Pelodiscus sinensis: one gene and its partner. The protein of the gene in region 1 purifies or fractionates together with the protein of each later gene. This does not show direct contact. Links are inferred from orthologs where the notes say so. Each region holds a gene or a part of one and is shown in the gene's direction. Other genes may lie near its edges. The genes, in order: CTTNBP2NL and STK24.

What was found.
Region 2: the proteins of CTTNBP2NL (region 1) and STK24 purify together in Homo sapiens (affinity purification with mass spectrometry; 3 studies listed by BioGRID and IntAct, with this or other methods). This does not show direct contact. The link is inferred for Pelodiscus sinensis from reciprocal best matches to the Homo sapiens genes CTTNBP2NL and STK24.

The regions. Positions count from the first base shown.
Region 1 is NC_134737.1:2,311,012-2,323,421, reverse strand, and holds the start of CTTNBP2NL (CTTNBP2 N-terminal-like protein), read left to right. Parts: upstream 1-6,316; 5' UTR 6,317-6,627; coding exon 6,628-6,657; intron 6,658-11,420; exon of another isoform or gene 11,421-11,957; intron 11,958-12,410. UniProt on the Homo sapiens protein: Regulates lamellipodial actin dynamics in a CTTN-dependent manner. Associates with core striatin-interacting phosphatase and kinase (STRIPAK) complex to form CTTNBP2NL-STRIPAK complexes.
Region 2 is NC_134711.1:249,511,424-249,523,699, forward strand, and holds the start of STK24 (serine/threonine-protein kinase 24), read left to right. Parts: upstream 1-7,639; 5' UTR 7,640-7,794; coding exon 7,795-7,836; intron 7,837-9,407; coding exon 9,408-9,638; intron 9,639-12,276. UniProt on the Homo sapiens protein: Serine/threonine-protein kinase that acts on both serine and threonine residues and promotes apoptosis in response to stress stimuli and caspase activation.

The DNA.
Region 1 (12,410 bases):
ACAATCAACTCATCAATCAAGGAGACCACTGCTCTCAATAAGGAGGCAATGAGGTATATGGGTTAAAATGGCAGTCCAGGAGCACCCATAGGTTCTATTTTCCATGTGGTTCTGGGTAAGAAAACTTTAAACATGCTTGTTTTCCTATTACCCATCTGCAAAATACCTGTCTCAACACCTGCGTCATTCAGTGTTTGTACAGCATCAAGAATCATGAGAAGTTTGAGTCATCATCAGATTTACCATCAAGATAAGTCACACTGCACATACAATAAACCCCTTTCCAAGTAAACGCTTGGTGCACCAATATCATTAAATGCCATAGTGTGATTTGCAGGGAAAATAAGAAACAAACTTAATCCTGAGGTTTTACGTCAGCTTCTTTGTACAACTACATCTTTTCAGATGGCTCACTCTCCTCTTCCCCCCCCCCCGCAAAAAAACCCCCGCAACTGGTGATAACTGGGTCTTTCTTGCAGGTCTGAGCAAAACCTGCTAATTGGCCGGTGTGGGTTGTTTATTTACTGGCTCCATGGCCACGGAACCTCACGGCTCCCATTGGCTCCAGTTCCCCGTGGCTTCCCTTGGCTGCAAACAGCAGACTGGAGCCAAAGGGAGCCATGAGCCTCCATGACAGTGGAGCTGGTAAATAAACACACTACACCGGCCAATTAGCAGGTTTCTCAAAGTGGTTTCGTGGACCACTTTGAGAAACACTGGTCTTGAGCCTCATTGTTTGAGGAAAGTTGATGCTGCCAAAAAGAATGACCTGTGATGAATGTGCTAGGCTTGACACCAAGAAAATCTCCATCTCTGCCACAAACTCCCTGTGCAAGCTTGGTCAAGACAATTCATCTCTCTGTGCCTCAGTTCTCCATTTGTAAAATGGGGATAATCTTCCTTTCTCCCACCCTTTGTCTCAAAGGGCCTGTAAGGCAGGGATGGGACTCTGTGGCTATGTCTACACTGCCCCCTCTTGTGCAAAAAAATATGCAAATGAGGCAATGGGAGGAATATCACCATGCCTCATTTGCATAATTAATTAGGCTCAGTTTTTGCACAAGAGGCTTTTGCGCAAAAAGGAGCCGTCTACATGTCTCCTTTTTGCACAAAAATCCCCTCTTGTGCAAGAGCCTTTCTTCCTCTTTTTTTCAGGATGAACGACTCTTGTGCAAGAGGGGTTTTTGCGCAAAAGCCTCTTGCGCAAAAATGGAGCCTCGTTGATTATGCAAATGAGGCGCAGCGATATTCCTCCCATTGCCTCATTTGCATATTTTTTGCACAAGAGGGGGCAGTGTAGACATAGCCTGTGAATGTACAGCATCTAGCACAGCAGCATCATAGCTAGGATTTAAGCACTAATGTAATATAAATAAGAATATAGTTATTTACTTCCAAAGTTAATAAAGAAAAGCTAGAGCCCCAGGGTCCTTGAGGAGCTGTAAAAAAGCATAGTTCCATCAACTTCAGCCAAGCTATATGTTTAAAACAGCAGAAGATTTATCCCTTTCTCTGTAGGACCTGTTTGCTCAAACACATTTCTCATTAAAAATAAAAGGAAAAAAGGATCAGTCACTGGTTTACTGCAGTTGTTCACTTTGCAACCAAAATTGCTGCTTAAAGCAATTTCTAAATTGTCCTTTTTTAGACAAAAGCTTTGTTTCTCTTGTTCTAATTTTGAGGTTTGGGTAGGGATTGTCTCACCATACACTGGAGAGAGTTTGTGCATCTGTCTGTCCATCTGTCCATGAGTCCGTTTGTTTAAGAACTCCTCCTAAACCAGTGGTCCCCAACGTTTTGGGACTGCCGGGCGCCTGGGGGCGGGACCGCTCATGCGCTGCACGTATGGGGGTGGGGCCGCTCACGGGCCAAGTGCCTGGGGGTGGGGCCAAGCATGCGCTGCACGCCTGGGGCCGGCACCGGCATGTGCCGCAACCCCGGGCAGAGGCCACCCAGGTGCTGCATGCACGGGGCCGGCACTGGCATGCGCCGTGACCCCAGGGTAGGGGCGGCCCATGCGCCCGGGGCTGGCACCTGCCGCACGCCCGGGGGCGGGGCCAGGGCCAGCCCAGATTGCTCCGCGGGCGCACATAAATGGCACCGCGTTGGGGACCACTGTCCTAAACACTAAGAGCTAGGACCACCAAATTTGCTATGCAACTTCCTCTTATCATAACTTAAAGCAAGACCAAGGTTTGGTTGTGCCAAGACAGTGGGATGTGCCTGGAATGGGATTTCTCCTCATAAAACCAAACAGAAAAGAGACAGAATCACCAAATCCAGTACAGTCCTCAAAACTGACCGAACTGAGCAAATGTTCAGGGCGGGCTCAGGGAGGGCAGGAGCTCAGGGCAGGTATGCAGAGTGCCACATCTGCCTGCCAGCTCCAGCACAGAGCTGCTGCAGCAATTCCATTCTGGGCTGGGGAGGAGAGGGGTGTCTGTGCCTCCTCCCCAGTTGTGGCAGCTCAGCACTGGAGTCATGGGAGGGAGTGCTTCACCTTCCCCCTCCACACACACATCTGCTCCTTGCTGGGGCAAGTGGAGGAGGGGCCTCCCCGCCCAGTTATAGCACCCAACCTAGAGCTATCCCAAAACTGCTGCTGCTGCGGGACATGTGGTCCTTCTGTGCCCTCCCACAGTCCAACCTGGACCTGCCCCAGCAGCAATGAGAGAGAGCTGGGATAGTCCTCTCTTCCTGGGGCAACCTGCATACTGAATCCCTCATCCCCAGTGCCAGCCCAGGGCAATTATTTCAATGAAGCATGTACATTTTCATATTATTTCCCAAAAAACAAAAATTGAGTTAAGGACTTGATCAATGCCAGGTAAATCTTCTAGTGGTAAATAGTAATAATAATCACAATAATAAAATCAGCCCAAGCTGCAAAGCAGCTCATGGAGTGTGTGATTTCATCAGAACAAGTTTCTTATCTTACACGAAAACCATTCTGGAGTAGAAGAATAACAACAACAGCATCCATGTAAACTCTCTCTCTGTCTCTCTGGGGAATCTATTAATGTGATAGAAAGAAAGGCTTAAACTCCAGTGATAGAGTGGTTTGCTCCAAGGACTAAACAGACAGATCTTACTAACCTTTCATCTCATTTTGCTTTCACTTTGTCATGTGCTCTTCCGATTAGAATTAGGGTTTGTCAAAAATACAGATTTTGCATTGGCCTCTGCACTGCTTTGCTATTAGAGAGGTCATATTTTCATAACAGATGTTTTAAAAAAACAGGAAAGATGCTGCTGACAGTGAAGGCAGTTTTTTTCTGTTGTCACTGTCATTATTAATTTTCTTCACTTCTGAAATAGTTACATTATTCTGTGTAAACATGAAAACAAAATTTTCTTTCCAATAATAATGCATTACCATAATAACACGTTTAAAGATTTGTGAACACGTTTAAAGATTTGTGAAATGCTTTAAAGATTAAAAGGCCTGGGAATGTGAGTTACTACTTTTTTTCCCCTTATCTTATGTCCATGGCTTGTTTAGGATCTGAAGACACTTTTCAAATATTAATTAAGCTTTACAACATTCACTGCAGCAGGTATTATTATGCTATGAAAAGCATTATATGGGAGTGAAGTAGAATCATTATTATCATTTTACTGATGAGAAAACTGAGCCATGGAAATTTTGACTTGCCTACCATCACAAAGTGAACCTGTGGAAGAGGTAGGATTTGAGGGGTGCAAAGTAACAGGATTCTGTCTTGTATTTGTATTAAATAGTACCAAGCAGATATCACAATTGGCAGAGAAGCTATAAGGAAATAAATACAGAAGCCTCCTTGTTTTGATATACAGTATATCAAAGCAAGGGGATTTGTTCCCAAGAAGATGTGCTCAAGTACAGCCTCTCTTAAGAAAGCATGGAAAAAACATAGCATTTCAAAATGTGCGCAGGTATGACTGGTGAAATGCATCATTTTTTCTATAATGACTTAGAGATATGAATCATGGTAAATTAATGCTGCTGTTGCTGACAAGAAGAAAACTGAAGCTTTTGGAATATTATGCTGGAAATTACTCTTGCTGTCTCTCGGATGGAAAAAAGATGAATGTCTACATTAGAAATCTTTTTGAGAGAAGCAGACCCCGATGTCAGAAAGCAACAGCTGAAAACTTATGTATTTTGCTTACAGAGCCGTAGAGATGGAAACTTGGAAAAGTTATTATGGAAGGAATGATAGAGGATCATGCTAGTACGGGACAACAAGCAAGGAGATTGATGAATGGTGTGCAGCAGATCAATGAAGGAACAGCTGCTGCACACTAAAAATTAGTGATGGATCATGAAGGCTTCTGAAAATTCTGCTACAATGTCACCAATATTCAGACCTGAAGAAATGGATTTACTTACTACACAGATGGCCCAACCATGATTGAGATCCTATTTTGCTATGCACCTCAAAAAGCCAAGATGCTCCCTGTGCTAAAAAGCTTAGAGTCTAAAGATGGGCTTGACTACAAAATCTGATAGCACTGAAACTGACAGAAATAACAAAACCATTTGGAGGTTGGCCGTTAGTTTGAAGTTTCAAGAAAACAACCCCTCAGGAAGAGATGTGCACTATCTTGCATTGGTGTTCTATTCACACCATCTACTACCAATCAGGTTTCTTTCCTTCACTGGCTGGATGGAACCTGGCAAGCACAGCCAGCATAAAGGACCATGCCCACTGTCAGCTCCATTTCTGATATCTATGGCACAGGGTAAGCAAACACCAGCACCAGGAAAAAACTTAAAAAACAACTAATCGTCTTGCAGCACCTCAAAGACTAACAAAACAGGTAGATGGTATCATGAGCTTAAAGTGGGTTGTGCCCATGGGCTCATGATACCATCTACACATTCTTTAAGGTGCTACTAGACTATTTGTTTTTTCTTACGTTTTTCCAGTTACCATCTAACTCTGCTACCCTTATGGGACCAGGGACAGCTTTTTAAAAAGTGTGTGTTGGAGGCCTTGTGGCAAGTATTTCACCATAGCTGTGCAGCAGAAATTGAACTAGATGCAGAAAGAGCTGCAGCGGCCAGCCAGGTGCGTGAGAAATAGCACCAGGGTTGGAGGGTGCTTTTTTTGGGGGGGGGGGGCTTCTCCAGACTGGAGGCAAGAGCAGAGAGCCCCCCACCTCCCACTTTGCCCTGTCCCAGGCTGGGGCATGAGGAAGGGGAAGCTCAGGGGGCCCTGTGCCCTGCCTCCAGCCGGTATGGGAGGAGAAGGGGGAGCTCCCAGACCCCCTTTTCTTGCCCCCCCCCCCCCCCGGGTGTGGGGACAGCCCCCCCCCCATCCAAACTGCAAGCTCTGGGAACAGCTCCCCCTAGAGGGCCAGCAGCTCTCTGCACCCGCGCTCAGATTCCAGCCCCGGAAGTGACGTGTAAATCACGGCTCCTCACTCTCCCTCCAGCACTGCGAACAAAAGGGATTTTCAGCCCCCGCGCCCCGCCCCTCCGTCCCCAGCACCGCGCCCTGATTGGCTAGCGGCGCCGCCGGCGACCGGCTTCCCCGCTCCGCCCCGCCCTTTCGCTCGCGGATTGGCTGCCGGCCCGGGTCGGGGTGATCGGCGATTGGCGGGCGCGAGCGTCGGTCGCCGAGCGGGGCCGGGCCGACGAGCCTGGCCGGGTGGTAGCGCGGCAGGGTGCGGAGCTGGACGGGGCCGGGGCAGGTCAGTGTCGTTGGGGGGCGCTGCTTCCCCCTCCCGGAGTCCCGCGCGCGGGGGTTCAGAAGGGGCGGGGCTGCGGAGGGGGGGGCGGGTGACCGTTGTGCCGGTTGGGCGCTCACGCGCCCCAAAATGGGGGGGGGGGGGCGCTCGGGCCGCCTGGCGCGCGCCGTGTTGCGCAGCTCGCGCCAGGTGCCGGGCCCGGGACGGCAGCTCTAGCGCCCCCGCCCGCCCCGCTAGCCGGGGGGGGGGTCGCCTCGGGCTCTGGCCGCGCCCGCGCTCCCCCTGCCCGCTCCGGACCCGCGGGGGGCTGGGCCCCGACGTGTCCGTCCGCTGGCTGCGAGCTTGGACGGGGGCACGGCGGGAAGAAGGACGCCCCCCCCCCAAGTCGGGCGGAAAGCGCGCCCCGCCGCGTGCACCGCGCCCGCGGGAAGTGTTCGCTGCTGTGTGGCTGTGTTAATACTGAGAGCACGGGGAGCGCCGGGCGTGCGAGCTAACTCCTGCCAGGTGGGGGGGGGGGGGAGTGTGTGTAAACACAAACGGGTTTGAAAGGAGAGCGCAGAATGGAGGGAAGCACTGCCCATCAGTATCTACAGGGCAGAGGGGGCCGAGTTAGTCTGTAACAGGGGAAAGGGAAAAAACAACACACAGCCTAGTAGCATCTTAAAGAGTAACAAAACCCGCCCATGGGAGCGTGAGCTTTCGTGGGCGCAGCCCACTTCTTCAGATGACTGGAGCGTTAGAAATCCAGATCCAGATTCTCTTCCCCCTCCCCCTCCCTTTTTTTATCTAAAGGGGCGGAAGAGAACCGTGTTTATTCAAAAGGGTTTCCCGTGGGATGCAATTAAGAGAGGAATTCTGCAGACCGAGTTGTGTGCTTCCTACATAAGAACGGCCGTACTGGGTCAGACCAAATGTCCATCTAGCCCAGTATTCTGTCTCCCAACAGTGGCAATGGCAGATGCCCCAGAGGAAGTAGAACAGGTAATCATCAGCTGATCCCTCTACTGTCATCCACCTCCTCCTTAAGTTCATAACAATGAGATGGACATGGGTAGGCTGAAAAACTAGATAATGTAGAGGAAAATTTCTCTGATCAAGGCTGGTTATAGTCTTTGAAATCCTGAGTGTTATAAACCAGAATATGCAGTGTTGGTCCCAGGATGATGCAGAAATAAGGAGGGTGAGGTTGAAAAATATTTCGCCCACATTGTGTCACTAATAACAGATAAAAGTTCTTAATGTCTTTAGCAGGAAGTGGGTTCCTACCTGGCAGGTCTCCACCAGCAGCTAAGAGTTAAAAATCATCAAAGGTTGCATAATAGTATTCCATGAATAGAAATGAGAAGCAAACTAATAAGAAAGCAAACAAAGGCTTGTTATCTTGGAAGATATAAGATGCGGAACTGGCACTGTCCTCACCATGGTAAAGGAAAGAGGCAGAGAAAAATTAACATGAAAGTTAAGCTCAACAGCTATTAGTAAAGCAAGACAGGGACACACAGGTGGCAGTTTCTTGACCTGCATAGTCACACGACATTGTGAATAGAGATGCCAAAATGGTCATTGCATATCTCTCAATTTGCAGTAAAATTGACGGGGGCTAGCCATTCACAGGGGGATTATCAGGGCTTTAAAACAGTAAAATTGTTCTTTCCTCGTGTAAAACAAAATAAAAACATCTAACTTAAAGCTGTTATATTCCAAGCTTTTTCTAAAGAGTCTGTCTCTAATGTATTAGGTAGACATTTAATAGTCTTTGTTTAAAAAAAACCTGAAGATGTTTGCCTTTTTTCTTATCTATAATTTGCATTCTGAAGCAAAAGTTAAAAGGTTGATAATTTATGTGTGTTTAGAAAAACTATAGTTTTGTGGATTTTCCTGGCAATTCTTTGTTCACGTGTTACTGAAACTTGAATTTGGGGAGATAAAGGATAGGTGGACTGTTGCTTATTTATTAAACCTTTTCGGGGGCTGTGGATTTGATGAGAAATCCACAGTCAGCTTTTTTAAATATGTAGATCAGTCATTTTTTATTCTTTTTTAAGTGCTTCCAAGTCTCACAATCTGGTCTGTGTGCACAATATTCATGGACCACTGTTTGAATTCTTTGAGAACAGACTCTGATTCAGGGGACCCATGGATGTCATGAAATTTTACATCCTTGGTCTGTAATAGATGGAGTGCTGGCTTGCTCAGGTTCTATCTGACACCATTGCTGGCTATTTCACAGACCAGCACTGAAATTAGGTCTAAAAATTCCCTTTTCTTAGTGGAAGAAAGAGGCATGAAGAGTATCTGTCAGGGAATTGCTGACGGAATAAGGAAAAGAAATATATCTAATTAGGTCTCAAAAATTTACTGTACACTAACTAGCCTTAAAACTAAGCCTCATAGTGAGAGGTTTATACAAAAGGCAAGAGTGGGGAAGCCCTCTCCATGGACCAGTGGGCCAACTCCTGAAGCAATGCTTCTGTGAGAAACCCAGAACTCCCACTAAAAAGGAAGAGGAGTATATTGCTTCAGGATCCTGGCTGCTGCAAGAAAGTGAGGAAATAAAGTAGCCACACTACTCTTGACTAGTCTGCTTTTATGCATGGTCCTCTTTTGTGAGGAACACAGGGACTACTGCCTTGTGTAGCAGGTTTTATGCTACAGGTATGACCCTTTACATCCAGTTCAATTTTCGTAAGTAGTAGATTGAAGTTAACCTGAATCTTGAGTTTCTCTGCTGTTACAGGTTGAATCTCTCTAAACCAGCACTCTGGTCTGGCAACATCCGTGGTCTGATGTGATTTTTAGTTAGCCTGATGCCCACTTAGCATAGGTGTGACCAGGTTTCCTGCATCCTATAAAGTTTGTTTGAAACCACTGGACCTGGTTCTGTGCTCTGTGCTGTTCTTTAGCTCTAATTTACCCCCTAAATGTCTTCTAAGAGCCCAGTAAGCAGTGGAAGTGTTGGTAATGCTGCCCTGGCTTAATGTAAGCCTTTCCGTGGACCACCAGTTGCTAATGGAAACTCACCGTTAATTACATAATTTTGCTCAAGTCATTTTGTTAGTGCTGCTGCTAGGGAAAATGGTTTAATTTAACCAGTAAGAAAGGAAATATTAAATAGATTAAGCTCTTTAACTTTCTCATGTTTATCAAACTTCATTTTAAATAGTAAAATATTAATTTATGTCCAACACAAAAAGTTTCAATGTTTTCTTTATTTATAACATGGGTGGGGAACCTTGGATCAGGGGCCATAGACCCACAGAAAAATCAGTTGGGAACCACAAAAGTGAGAAGCAAAAAACTCCTCCAAAACCCCCCCAACCGTCACTGATGTGACCCCTAAATGAAACACCTCACTCCTCTGCTGCTCCAGCACCATGGAGGAACAGGGAGAACTAAGGTTCAGGGCTTTCCATGGGCCGGCTTTACTCTTCTGGGTTTTCAGGGTTAGGGGATTTTTGACCCTCCTAGGCTCTGGGGTGGGAACAAAAATGAGGGATTCAGTGTGTGGGACAAAGCTCTCAATGAGTGGGATAGGGGTGAGAGTCCAGGATCTGGGTGGGAGGTGGGCTGCAGGAGGGGGTAAGAATGCGAAGTCTGGGCAGGAGGTGGGGTGCAGGATCAGGCAGGGAGTAGGGTGTGTGTCCACGAGGGAGAGTGCAGGAGCAGCTTGGGGATAAGGAGTTTTGGCGAGGGGCAGTGCAGGAGCAGGGTAGAGGTGTGGGGTCTGGGCATGAAGGGGCAGTGGGGTCACTTACTTGCTTTCACACCCCACACTGCTCACAGGCATAGTGTCTTGGGCATGTCTTCCTGCTGCTCCCATCAGCTGGATTTCCCAGGATTAGCGGGGAAAGCCTCCAGGCAGCACATCAGTGCGCTGCTGTTTCCCCAACTTCTGGCTCTGCATCGCTCCACTTCTTCCCCATAAGGCAGGACCAGCGAGGAGACTGAAGTCTCACTTTCCTCCTATTCCCCAAGTGAAACCACTGCTGGTGATCTAACCTTGCCAGAGGAAAAGGGGGTGCGAGAGGCTGGAACACGAGGCTGGAACGCCTGCATGGGCTCCCTGCTGTGGTAAGAGAGAGGGTGGAAGCAGGGGGAGCTGAGCTCAAGCGGCAGACCACAGTTTTAGAACCACTGTGCAAGGCAATATTAACCTCCCATGGTTTGGCACTAGAGATGTAAGAATTTAACCAGGTACCTGGTTAACCGATAAGTGTTTATTGGTTGCTGGCACTGTTTAAATTCTTCATACCAGGAGCCATAGCAGTCCCGGCAGCCCTAAGAGCCTCTGCGGAGCCCTGGGAGCTGTGGCAATCCCCCAGGAGCCATGGTTAACCATGTAACATAGAATTTCTATCAGTTACATGGTTAATAACTTTAAAATTTTGTACATACCTATCTGGTACCGGTCAGGTCCCAAGGATGCCAGATTAGAGAGGTTCAACTTGTATTCAGAATCCTCTGGTCTTCAATGAAAATGACCATGGTCTTATTAAATACTCTCTTGTTGCTCAGCAAGGCTTCCAGCAGCAACAGGCTTTACTGGGGCTTTCTATGTACAGACTCAGGAAGACAAAATTTCAACCTTTGAAATGTAAACCACACATTTTTGCAAACATTAGCGCTAGAAACATAGACCCTTGTCCCATACGTTGCCGAATGCATCTGAATTCAGTTGTTGAAGGTACTTATAACTTAAGTGTCAGGCTGTGTGTGTGTGTATGTATGTATGTGTGTGAATATATATATACACACACGTGCGCGCGCATACATACCTACACACACACTCACGGCGGGGGGGAGGCAAGCAGACATATGGATTGGATAAAGAGCTTGAAAAAACATTCATTTTCAGAAGAGAGCTCTCTAACATGAGATGAGTGACCCCAGAAATGTCTGATCAGTCATTTTTAAATACAAACATGCTTCTGTTGTACATTTTTAAAACATTTTGGTCTTAACTGGTTGCAAGCCAGAAAAAAATCCTCGTGTGTCTGTACAGAGCATCTTAATTTGAAGGTAGCTTAATTGTAGGTGTGTATTTGGCTTTTAGTCATTAGTCTTCTCTTAGATCTTTAGAACAGCATTGAATAGAGATTATGGGGTAGCAGAAATGGATAGGTGATTTGCTTTTTCTTAAATGAAGTAAAGAGTTTTGCCATCCAGTGCTTTAGCTGAAGGATTTTGTACACAAGGGTTAGAGATGATTTTGTTAATATAGTAGTTAAAAGAACATTTTAAGAACTTTTTGTGGGAAATATTTTATTTTGGGGAAAGAGTTGCTTCGTTTAGCTTTTAGGTTGCCTTCCACCATCCCTTTCCCTCCAATAAAATCCTCAAATTCTACTCATTTTAGCTTAATTCTCTGTTGTGGTTTTGGCGTACTGCCTAATAATACGTTTGAGGAAAGACAAGAAGTTAGAGAGAGTAGTATGCCTGTTTTTGAATAATGTAACTGAAAGCACAGATGCAACTTTGTATGTATTAGGGATGTTAACGGGTAACCAGTTAACCGGTTATCCTGATGCTTCCTGGGTAACAGTTAACCTGTACTCAGAAAACAGCCTGTTTGAGCCATGGGCTACTCCAGCCATGCATGGGGCCAGAAGCAGCTGGGCTGGAGCAGGCACTGCCTGTGAAGGGTGGGGAGGGAGGATGTTCCAGGCCACTCCCATTTAATCTGTTAACCAATTAAACTTAATGTTTAATCGGTTAACTTGTTAAGCAGAATTTTATATCCCTAGTAGGTATACTGCAGCATGTTTTTTATTTTGCTGATTTCCATACCAGCTTTTTAGATTTTTTATGGTATCTGAATGCCTATGAACTTCTGAAAATATCAGCCCTTTTTCATCTATGAAGAATTAAAATGAGGCTTGTTGAGAGCTGTAGACACAGAAGCATTGTTGAACAACCAGCATATTTGTAGCCATAGCATCTGAAAGAACAGGAAGTAGCCCCAATCATTAAAGGAAAATGCCCACTTCTGTTCTGCTTAAAATGTTGCAAGGAGAAGCACAAGACACATGAGTCAAATCCTTACGTATACAGAACTCCCATTACGTATTCTGCGATATGTGCTTTTCAGAAGTGGTGTGGTTAGACTCTTTTCTGAGAGGAACACTGATGCCTTTGGAGTCCTCAAGTATGTCATCAAGCTCTATTGGGATCAATGGACTAGATTCTTCTCTTATGCTGAGGACCTCTTTTAAATAGCTTCACATTTACATTCATGGCTACAAGGGGAATATAGCCTAGTGCCTTCAAAATAATCTGTTCAGGTATTGTGCATGATTAAATATAATGAAATATTCATATTATTTGGTAACCTACTCCATCCTTTCCTCCCAACAGTGCTTGCTCAGGATATTTAAGTCTTAATTTTAAAAGTTTCAGATTCAGCTGCAAGATGGTGTTTAGTTATTTATTTTGAAATTTTGTTTTACTATTTTGTGCATATTTTATGTTAAATTCTGTACAGGTTATTTTAAGGGAAACATTGACAGGCTTAGAACAAAATGTACTATAAGAAATGTTGCTTTCAAGTATAAAAATATGTTTCTGCTGAAAAAAGTATAACACAGCTAAGAGGAAGTTTACTTTTAGACAAGCAATAAGCAGTTTTGTTTGTTTAATCTGTGAACTTTTGATTGCTGTCTTAAAAGTGTAGTAGACTTCAGACTTAATAAAAATATTTATTCTATAAGACTAAATGCCCTAGTTTTCATGGTTTG
Region 2 (12,276 bases), on another chromosome or scaffold:
CCCAGTTCCTCTCACATCAGGGACCCAGTGCTGGTGCTACAGCATTACAGCCCCCGTAAGATTGTAATGCCTTCCCATGGGGATGAGGGGACAGGTAAAGAAAGCTGTGAGCCTCCCCACCAGATCCTGTGTGCAGAGAGCAAGCAGAACCAAAAAAGGTTCTGCGTGCACTGCCCTTTTCCTTCCTGGGACACACTTCCTGAAGTCTTCCCCTGTGAATCCTTCCTGGAGGCTTCCTTCTGGTGAATGGGAAGAGCAGGAAGCTGTGTTACATGGTGCCTGCGACGTGGCACAAAAACAAGTGGGACAAGGGGAATCCAGTTGATATAGTATACTTAGATTTCTAGAAAGGCTTTGACAAAGTCCCTTACTAAAGGCTCTTAAGTAAAGTAAGTTGTCATGGGATAAGAGGGAAGGTCCTCTAATGCTTTGAGAACTGGTTAAAAGACAGGAAACAAGTTTTCTGAATGGAGAGAGGTAACTAGTAAACAAGTTTTCTAAATGGAGAGAGGTAACCCCAAGGGTCTGTCCTGGGACCAATCCCATTCAATTTATTTATAAATGATCTGGAGAAACAGTGAGGTCGTAACATTTGTGGATGATACTAAACTACTCAAGATGGTTAAGACCATAGCAGATTGTGAAGAGCTTCAAAAAGATCTCACCAAATTAAGTGATTGGGTAACAAAATGGCAAATGAAATTTTATGTTAACAAATGCAAAGTAATAAACATTGGAAAAAATAATCCCAACTATACGTATAATATGATGGAGGCTAATTTACCTACAACTACTCAAGAGAGAGATCTTAAGAGTCAATGTGGATAGTTCTCTGAAAACATCCACTCAATGTGCAGCAGCAGTCAAAAAAGCAAATAGAATTTTAGGAATAATTAAAAAAGGGATAGAGAATAAGGTAGAGAGTATCTTACCTCTATATAAAACTATGATACCCCCACATCTTGTATACGGCATACAGATGTGGTTGCCTCAGCTCAAAAAAGATATATTGGCATTAGAAAAGGTTTTGAAAAGGGCAACAAAATGATCAGGAGTTTGGAACGGGTTCCATATGAAGAGAGATTAAAAAGACTTGTACTTTTCATCTTAGAAAAGAGGAGACTAAAGGGGGATATGATAGAGATCTATAAAATCATGACTGCACCCCCACATCCTCAGCCCCTTGCCACAAGATTGACAGAAGACAGCCTGAATGTGTGCATGAAGCTGGATTTGATCAGTTATGATGTAAGCTTTAAAAAATGTGCAGCAGAAGTCTCATTAAATAAAATATTGAGTACAATGTTTCATTTATGCTATTAATCATGATTATCAATAAATATTAAGTTGTATATTTTCAGTCATGCAAATGAGCAATCTTATATGGCTCTTTATTGGCCACTTGTTCTGAATTTTGATGTAGGTTTGAAAAGGTTGCTGACCCCCATCTAGATATATTGCATCTACTGCTTCCCCACATATATAAGGCTTGCTATCCTGTCAAAGAAGGATATTCAGTTGGTTTGACACAATTACTTCTTTACAAAGCCATGTTGACCGTCAGGAGCTGGAACAGCTCTGCTCCAGTCCACCCGGGAGCCCACCACAGACAAGGGCTGCTTCAACCATCTGAAGTAGCCTCTGTCCACAGTAAGTCTTGGTGTACCTGCAGTGCTGGGGGGGAAGAGGAGGCTCTCCAACCCACCCCCTTTAACGGATTAGCCAATTAAATGTGATTTTTACATCACTAGTTAACTTTTCACCTTTTTATCTTCCAGACGCTTACAAACTGATTGCTTGATTATTTGCTCCATTTTCTTTCTGGTTACTAAATTACACTGACTGGTCTATAATTCTCTGAGCTGTTCTATTCCCTTGTTGATAGATAGGTTCTATATTTGCCCTTTTCCAGTCTTCTGAGATATCTCCTCTACTCCATGGGTACTCAGATTATATATTTACTAATGGCTCCGAGATCTCTCAGCCAGTAGTACTATGTGAATATGTCAAGTATCAGAGGGGTAGCCGTGTTAGTCTGAATCTGCAAAAGCAGTGAGGAGTCCTGTGGCACCTTATAGACTAACCGAAGTGTTGGAGCATAAGCTTTCATGGGCAAAGACCCACTTCGTGACATGCATCTGACGAAGTGGGTCTTTGCCCACAAAAGCTTATGGTCCAACACTTCGGTTAGTCTATAAGGTGCCACAGGACTCCTCGCCACTTTAATATGAATATGATGGATTTCATTAGGCCCTGTTGATACCTAAATTGACTAAGCACTTCTTAACTTATTCTTCCCTAACTTATTCTTCCCTATGTTAGCCTCAGAGCCTACTCCATTCACAATGATTAGTTGTCCAATCAAAGCTAACCTTTTTGGTGAAAATTGAAATAAAAAAGGCATTTAATACTTCAGCTATTGCTGTGTTTTCTGTTTTTGTCTTTCCCTCTTCATTGAATAACGGACCTTGGTCTTTCTCAAGCTTCTAATGTATTTATAAAATATTTTTGTTACTCTTTATGTCCTTATTTTGTTTAATCTTGTTTTATGTCTTGATCTTTCTAATTATGTCCCCACTTATTTGTGTTGTTTTTTGTATAAATAATTTCTATTTTGAGCTAGTTTCCTCTTTCTTGAAACTCAAAAAAGAATCATTCAGATTTTGGAGATCTTGTCACAGTTCCTCTCTTTCCTACACATTGGGAGAGTTTATTCCTTATTTGTGGTATGTCCACATTATAGAGATTCTATCAGCATAACTGTGTTGTGGTAGCTTCAGGGGGTAGCTCAGTTAGTCTGTTACAGAAAAAAACAACAAATGGTCTGGTAGCACTTTAGGGTATGTCTACACTACCGCCTTAGTTCGAACTAGGGTGGTTAATGTATGCAACCGGAGTTGCAAATGAAGCCCGGGATTTGAATTTCCCGGGCTTCATTTGCATATTGCCGGGCGCCGCTGTTTTTAAATGTCCACTAGTTCGGACTCCGTGCCCGCGGCTACCCGCGGCACGAACTAGGTAGTTTGGACTAGGCTTCCTAGTACTGTGGAACGGGGTGTACCGGTAGTTCGGACTAGGAAGCCTAGTCCGAACTACCTAGTTCGTGCCACGTATAGCCGCGGGCACGGAGTCCGAACTAGCAGACATTTAAAAATGGTGGCGCCCGGCAATATGCAAATGAAGCCTGGGAAATTCAAATCCCGGGCATCATTTCCAACTCCGGTTGCCTACATTAACCACCCTAGTTCGAACTAGGGTGGCGAGTGTAGACATACCCTTATAGACTAACGAAACATGTAGATGGTATCATGTGCCCACCAAAGCTCATGATACCATCTACGTAAGTGGTCTCCAACCTTTTCACACCCAAGATCACTTCTTAAATGACAGAACAAGCCAAGATCTACCACCCCGCCCCTTCCTTGAAGCTCCACCCTCTCTATTCTCCTCCTCTCCATCACTTGCTATCCCCAACCCTTATACCGCTGCTTTTTTCCCCAATTCTTCTGTAGGAAGAGGTTTTTCCAACATTTGGCCTGTCTAGACCGGACCAAATGTCAGAAAAACCCCTTCTTTTGGAAGCCCCCTTATTCCTTGTGGAAAGAGGAATATAGAGGTGACCGAAAGATCATGTTTGCTCTTCCACTAAAAGAAGTGGAAGAACAAATGCATCTGTGGATACAGAAGAGTTTTTCTGGGATATCTCCGGAATCCTGAAAAACTCCTGCAGTCTAGCCGTAACCTTGCTGGGTTGAGACAGAATGTGTAGGCTCTAGAGTGGGAATGAAGGATTTGGGTGTGGGAAGGGGTGAGAGGTGCAAGTTCTGGGAGGAAATCTGGATGTAGGAGAAGGTGGATAAGAGGACACTGGCTTGAGGAGAGGGCGCCAGGCCGGGCAGTGTAGGGTTAGGGTACTAAGCAAGCCACAGACTTCTGGATGTGAGGGTTCAGGAATTTGGGTTGAGGTATGTGAGGGGCTCAGGACAGGGGTTTCCAGTGTATGATAGGCTCCGATGTAGGGTCTGGGGGAAAGGTAAGCGCAGGAGTGTTATGATGCTGTGGCCAGATGGGTTCTTAGCCCCAGTTTGGGGTTTGTTGGCTAGGCTTCATTTTTAAATCAAATAGTGTATCAAACAAAAAGTTTCTGCATTTTCTTTATTTCTCAGAAGGGCAGGGAACCTTTCTTGAGTCAGGGGTCATTGACCCAAGAAAAGTCAGTTGGGGCCACACAAGTGAGATGCAAAAAAACCCTCCTTCACCCCCCCTAAGCTTCACTAATGTGGTCCCAACTGTGTTGGTGGGAACAGGGGACATAGTACTGGGGAAGGGTGCTAGTGGGTGCTTTGGCAGGGGACAGGGTGCCAGTGGGGACAGGGTTCTGTGGATCGGGACAGGGGAATGGGGACAGAGTTCAAAAAGTGGGGATGGGAATTGGGACAGAGTTCGGTAGCTGGGGAGAGGGAACTGGGCAGTGGGGAGTGGGAATGGGGCAATGGGAACAGGAGGAGGGGGGCAGTGGAAGCAGAGAGTCCCCTGCATCTGCCACCTCCCAGGATTCTCCCCCCCCCCCCCCCCCCACGGGAAGCCAGCATGTGCCTCCTCGGGGCCCAATTCACACGCTCCCCCGGCGCAGGGAAGTCCTGCGTGTGCCTGCCCTGGGGTCAACCCCCCCCCCGGCACAGGGAAGCCCTGCGCACAGACCCCCCCCGGCGCAGGGAACCCCCACGCATGCCTACCCCGGGGCCGACCCCCACCCCCCGCGCGCCTGCCCCGGGGCTGACTCACTCCTCCTGTGCGGTGCAGTGAGCCAATGCTCCCTTCCGCAGTACACCTGGCAGAGCAGCTAGCGCACTTCCAGAATCGTCGGAAGTGGCGCTAAGCTGCAGGACTTCTGTCCATCCCAGGGAAGTCGACATTACCTCCATTTTCACTTGAGGTAGGTAGTGGGGCTTCTTGAGGGTGGGAGGGAAATGGGGGCGCGATTGACTGGTCGAGGCCTCATGATCGACCAGTCAATCGCGATCAACCTGTTAGTGACCACGGATCTACATGTTTTGTTAGTCCAGGGGTTCTCAAACTTTGTGATACCACGACCCCCTAAAATGCTAAATGAATGTGTGACACCCCGCACCCTCACCAAAGTTGTTAAGCAAAAAAAAGAAAAAGGGGGGGGGGGGTGGAAGCAAAAGTCGTTAAGCAAAAGTTGCACCACTTTGTCCAGTTTGGGACTGCACCCAGCCCTCCCTGAGCCAGGCCCTCATCCCCCCCCATCCCAGTGCACTCCCCCCTCCACCTGAGGCAGGCCTCCCAGCACCCCCCCATCCCAGTGCACTCCCTCCTCCCTCTGAGAGGCATCCTCAGAGTCCCGGAGCATGCTCCAATCTAATCTCCCCCCCACCACTGCAGAGCCAGGCACGAGGAAACTCTTACTTTCAAAGTGGCTGCTCTTGAAGCCCAGCCCGGCCCGGCCGCCTCAGCTCACAGCATGACTCAGGAGCATCATGTGGCCAGCTGTCGGACTCTGCTGCTCACGTTGGCCAGAGCAGCGCACGCTCTGGCACCCCCCCAACGTGGCGCCTGGTGACTGCTCCCTCCTGCCCCCCTTTCACTAGACTCTGCAGCGCTCCTCACTCCCCGCCCCTGCCATATGAGGCAGGGTAAAATTGCCCCTGCTGGGCTTCTGTCCGGTATTTCATGTTTTTTTTACATGTGGAGAGAGACACATTCTTTCAAGAAAAAAACCGGATCCAGCTGCAACCCCTCTGTAAATTCGTCGTGACCCCACAGGGGTCTAACTGCGTTAGTCTATAAAGTGCTACCAGACCTTTTGTTGTTTTTTTGTGTGTTGTGGTAGCTATGCTATCATAACACCATAATACAGATGCAGCGTACACTGACTGAAAGATTTTCTATTGATATAGAAACATCATCTCCCTGAGTGATGGTGTCATCTCCTATATCTACAGAAGCATTCTTTCAGCAATGCAGGTAAGTCCTACAGTGGAGGTGTGCTTTTCCACATGTGGACAAACAGATCAATTCAATTTTTACATTTAGACCCAGTCTTACAGTGGTGTGAAAGGGAAATCAACTCCTCTGTGTGTGCATGATATCCTCTGCATAGGTGAGGTTATAACAAATGACTGGTGTGATCGGGGCAGCCCGTGCCTATAGGCAAACCTGGCAGCTGCCTAGAGCGCCAAGTTAAATGGGGCGCCAAATTCCCTGCCACTTCCCCTTCCCCCAACGCCTGACTTCAGCACTGGAGGAGGAGTGCGGCTTCCCTGCACCGCAGGAGGGGTGAGTCGGTCCCGGAGGAGGAGCGTGGGGAGTTGGCCCCAGGGGAGGCAATGCGCAGGGGTTCCTTGCACCGTGAGAGGGGGGATCAACCCCGGGGGAACAGGCGCACGTGGGTTTCCCCGCAGTACGGGAGGAGAGGGGTTGGCCCCGGGGTAGGCACGTGCCGGCCTCCCCTGCGCTGCGGAGGGGGTGGGGGGTCGGCCCTGGGAGAGGCACATGTGGGGGTTCTCTGGCTGCAGGGGGGGGGGTCGGCCCTGGGGGAAGCAGTACATAGGGGTTCCCCATGCCGAGGGAGGAGCAGGTCGGCCCCGGGGGAGGAGGCGCACCACAGGAGGGGGGTCGGCCCTGGGGGAGGCAGGCAACAGCTTCCCCTGTGCCGCGGAAGCGAGGGGGGTCGTCCCAGGAGAGGCGTGTGCCAGCTTCCCTCTGGGGGAGGAGGCGGTTGCAGGGGACTCTCTCCCCCCACTGGTACCCTGTTCCCTCTCCCTTTTCCCCAGCCACAGATCTCCATCCCCGGCCCCCTTGGCTCCAGCCACAGAACCAAAAACCTCAGTCTATATCTGCCCTTGGGGTTGGAGGCGCCGATTGCTTGGTTCGCCTAGGATGCCAGTTGCTAGCAGCTAGTCTAGGGCCGCCCCTGGGTGTGATGAAAAAATATTGATAACAGGTCAGAGTTACTCAAATGGCTCATTGGCAGTTCTCTCACTTGCTAGTTGGCAATCTAGAGAAAGAGCTCCCAAGCCAGTGAGGTAAATCCAATGCACATCACTGCAGCATGTCAGATAAAAGGGACCAAATGGCAGTAGGGTGCAGGTTAGCACAATGTCTGGTGTAGGTGTTTTTGCGCATTGTGCTCAGGCTCCAGCCCTAGGCGGATACTCACGACAAGGGAACACTACGCCCTGCCTTCGCCAGTGAGCCCCCCTCAGACACAGGACACTGCCCCAGACACCGCTCCCCAGCCGTCTTCGGGGGCACATGCCCCTCGCGCGCGCGGCCCCGAAGGCCAGACACCGCTCACGCGAGACACCCCCCGCGGGCGCGACCTCCCCTCCCGCGGCGATTCACCGCTGGCAGCTGCAGGGCGGCGGGGATCTGCGCGAGCCCGGACCGGTCACCATCATCCGGGCGCGAAGCCCGGCAAGCGCCTCGTGCCGCTACCGGCATTCGGGGGCGGGGCGAGAGCGCGCGCGCCCCTTGCACGGCGGCCGTTGTCCCTCGCCCGAGCTGGTTTGCGTTACGTTAGCAGCCCCCTCCTCCCCCCTTCGCGCGGGACCGGTAACGACCGCTCTACGCGCGCGGCGCAGGGGAATGGGGAGCTCGGGTTCGACGCTGAGTCTCTGACGGGACCTGAAGCGGGGCGGGGCGAGGAGCGCCAGGGAGCTCCCGCCCGCAGACGCTCGGCGAGTCGTGCGTGGGGGAGGGGGCGAGGAGCTGATTCCAGTCGCTAGAGCCGCCTGAGCAGAGCCCCGAGGAGCGCGCGTCGGCGCCGCCATGACTCAGTCCCCGGTGCAGCCCGGCCTGCGGGAGATGCCGGTGAGACTCTGGCCCCGCCCGGGCGGGGGTTGCGGCATAAACTGCCTGGAGGGGAGGCGTGCGGGCCCCGGCACTGCTGGAAACGCCCGCGGGCGGGGGGGCTGCCAGGTTCCGCCTCTGCGGCCCGTGTGCGGCTGGGGGTCCTCGGGGCGGTCGTGCCGCTGCCGGGAAAAGCCACTTTGCTCTGGCACCGCCCATCAGTGCCCGTGCCCGGGGTGGGGGCGGTCATTGGGAAACAAACGGCTTTGCCAGCGCCTGGCTAAATCAAGGCGGAGGTGCTTGGGCCGTGCGCCTGGCTCCCTTCCTTGCTCCGGGAGAGCCAGAGGCCGCCCGAAGGGGGGGAGGCTCGTTGACTTTGGAAACACAACCCCTCCCTGCAGTGCAAAAGCGTTGCCCTGCAGGATGCGCTTTGGGAGGAGGAGGGGGTGGAGGTTGTTTTGTCATGTGAATTGCTTAGTTAGGGCCGGTATGTGTTTCTGAATAATTGTCAAGGGGCTCATGATCCCTGGGCTAGGCATCCCTGCCTACTTTGTCTGTCTTTGTCTTATTATTAGTTCAAATAAAATAACAAAGCCCTCGCAGAGAAACCTTAAAACTGTCAGTGTTTGTGTATTGTTCTAATTGGACCCCATGTATCTTTAATAGAGCTTGGATGCTACTTCATGACATGCCACTTTGAGGCCCAGCCTTCTTTTTTTATTTCCTTATAACTTCCTCAAATTACCTTTTGGGATTGAAATGTTTTATGCTTGGTGTGGCTTTAAAGTAAATTTATTTCTGGTTAGTGTTTCATCTATCTCATGCACTAATTCAGGTCTTTTTTTTTTGGGGGGGGAGCTAGCATAGCCTAGAGATTTTAATTGAAAATACCCATTCATATATCTATAGAAGACTGTGTACTTGCAAAAGCATAGGGGAAATATTAATGGGAAAGACTTAAACTGTTAACCCTGGCATGTACTACACATGCACAATGTTCTCCCTTCCACCTACAGACAGTGTGCACTCAAATCAGTTGTTGTTGTGACCTGGAGGGCTCCTGACTTTTATGTACTGTGCAAAGTCATCCATCTCCTCTGGAGACCCTTAAAATTACTCATTATTATTCAGAAAAATATGCTTAGGTGTTCCGTATGTCTGGTAATTGTTTAAAACGAGGAAATAAGTTGTAAAATTCTATCTGACTATGTCATGGATTAATTTTAATTAAAAAAGATATGACAGATTTCATTGTATCATGTTTCTTGCAGGAACTGTAATTTAAACCTTTTGAACACATTAGGCTCTGTGGTCGCTAGCTGAATATCTAGTACCCAGTTTTTCAAACACTTAAGGGGGGGAAGAAGGGAATTCCAGCACAACAGGTTGGAGTGGCCCGTTTAATTTGTTAACTGGTTAAAGGTGAAATAAATTTCACCTTTAACCAGTTAACAAATTACACTGTCTTTTAAATCCTTAGTTCTAATGAGCTGCACAAAGTCATTAATCTTTGTCTTTAGAAATGTTAACATATTTGTTTGTAACACTGAAAGCAAGTATTGAGTATCTTTTTCTTTTTATAAATTTAACAGAATATAAAAGCGGATCCAGAAGAACTGTTCACAAAACTGGAGAAAATTGGCAAGGGTTCTTTTGGTGAAGTTTTTAAGGGAATTGACAATTGGACTCAGAAAGTGGTTGCTATAAAAATTATTGATCTAGAAGAAGCAGAAGATGAAATAGAGGACATCCAGCAAGAAATCACAGTTTTGAGTCAGTGTGACAGTCCTTATGTAACCAAGTATTATGGATCCTATTTAAAAGTAAGAATATGCTTTTCTGTGTGTGTTTTACAGTTAAAAATGTTGCTCTACTGATGTCCTTGTCATAAAAAATTGAGGTTGAATAGAAGAATAGTTTTTCAATGGAAGAGGAAATATTTTCTCCCTTTAAACCCTAAAACGAGTGAACTGTTTATAGTTTGTAAAGAGTTTGCTTCCAGACCTACCTGAAGAATAAAATAGTACGTGTCTGTTTTGTCACTTAGTGACAGGAAGAAATGAAACTTTAAGTAACAGACTTGTTACTGGTGACATTCAGGTCTAGCAGTGGTATATTTAGATCAATTTAAACTTAGAATATTTTCACTCTTAGTTTATTGTTCAACTTGAGAATACATTTAAAACATAATAAAAATTGGCATAAAACTACTAGAAACAACTCAGTACCAACTTTTACCACATTTTAACAATTTTGTCACAACAATTTTGTAGAAGTATGCTTTTTAAACATGGAGTTTTGTTTAAACTTTATCCTATTTTTTACCTGAATGGATCAAAAAATTAATTTGCTAACTTGTGACCTATTTGCAGAAGGTGTTTAGTAGAATAGCCTTAAGTAAAGGCTGAGAGATCCTGTTTGGGTTTTGGTTGGTGCTTTGGTTACAAGCTTTACTTATCTCTTGGATTTTATTTTTCTTTGAAAATATCTAGTTTTTTTACAGTAAATCAGCTGCAGTGAGTTTTAATATATCAAGTACAAAAAGGTATTTCTTCTTTGCAGAAAGATTAATGTTTAAGGTTTCTCTAAGGACCCACTTCCAGTAGGACAGTCAATTGTGTACTTCCAGTGGCCTGGCCTTGTTATCCAAGGCAACTTGAGGAAAAAGTCCATCACCAATATTCACTCAGAGGGCATGATACTCTATCACTGTCTTTGGGTGTAGTAAGCCTAAAAAGCATATTGCCGAACAAAATAAACTGGCATCCACTTTTAGTTTCTGAAGTCCCCTCTTGAAATCTCCTGACCAAGTGTTGGTGTTTATGTGAAACAAGTCATTCAGAAAGGGCATTACAGATATTTCTCCTACTGTGAAGGAGAAATCAATCTCTTCCGCATCCTTATTCACAAAGGAAATGTTCCTGATTTCCCTAAAGTTCATTTCTCCAGCAGGTCTGGTGGTAAATATGCTTCAGAGGAAGACTGCAAACATTTAAACTGGTTTTCTTTAACAGCCCCAAATACACATGGTCATATTGTATTGTTATGGATGTAGTTCTTCCCAGTGAGGTTGACAATAAGGTGACACTTCTCTTGAAAACACAGAACTTGATGAGAGAGTCAGGGGGAAAAAAAAGACTGAAATAATGCTGGCAGGAAAAAGGAGCTGTAACTACTTTTTCAGATAAAGGCTTTATTTCTTGTATTGTAGTAGGTACTATCTCTATCTCAGAGTTTACAGTCTCTAAAATGGATGAAGGGTGCCTGACTTTGCAGATTCAAACCTTATTTCTTCACCCAGATAAATTATAGGGTACATTAGGCTAACGTATTCTTACATATTAATATAGAGTTTCATTCTTAAAACTTAAACAACAAATAGTCTAGTAGTGCCTTAAAGACTAACAAAACATGTAGATAGTATCACGAGCTTTTGTGGGCACAACCCACTTTTTCAGATGACAGGAGAGTTAGAAGTCCAGTTCCGAGAATAAATAAAGGAGGAGGAGGGGGGAAGAAGAAGAAGAAGAAAAAAAAAAAGACAGTGAGTAGATAAGGTTCAGAAGAGTAGCTGAATTAGTCTGTAACAGGAACTAAAAAAAAAAAACCAAAACCCCAGATTAGTCTTTAAGGTGCTACTAGATTAATAGTTACTAGAGGCTGATACGAATTGTTAGCATCTTCATTGTTTGTTTTGTTAAGTCATTAAAATATGGAAGATAATGTGCGAGCCATCCAATATCCCGGTTCATACTATTTGCATAAGAATTAAACTTGTGAATGAAATTAAGTTCCAACCTTTTCTGTGTATTTGGCTTGTGGAATTGGTCTAAAACAAAACGGCTACTTGGAGCGTTCAGGAAGATTAAAGTGTTCTCCAACAGGCTTTTGTGTATTGCCCTTTTGGATATCTGATTTGTGTCCATTAATTCTTTCCCGTAGAGACTGTCCAGTTTGGCCAATATACATTGTAGTGGGGCATTGCTGGCATTTGATGGCGTTGATCACATTAGTAAATGTGCAGTTAATTGAGCCTCTGATTTGGTGGCTGATGTGGTTGGATCCAGCGATGAAATTGCTGGTGTAGATGTGTGGGCCGAGTTGGCATCGGGGCTGATTGCAGGGGTGGGTTCCTAAATGATTATGATGGAGTTGTGTTACATGGTTACCGGAAAGAATTTGTTTGAGGTTACGGAGTTGTCTGTAGGCAAGAATTGGTTTCCCCCCCAAGGTCTCTGAGAGTGAGAGGTCATGTTCCAGGATAGGTTGTAGATTGTTGATAATGTATTGGATGGGTTTAAGTTAGGGGCTGTAGGTGATGACAGGTGGAATACTGTTTTCTCTTTTGGACCTGCCTTGAAGTAGTTCATGTCTGGGTATTTTTTTTGGTTCTGTTGATCTGTTTTTTCACTTCTCCGGGTAGGTATTTCAGTTTTAAGAATCCTCTATAGGTCTTTGTCT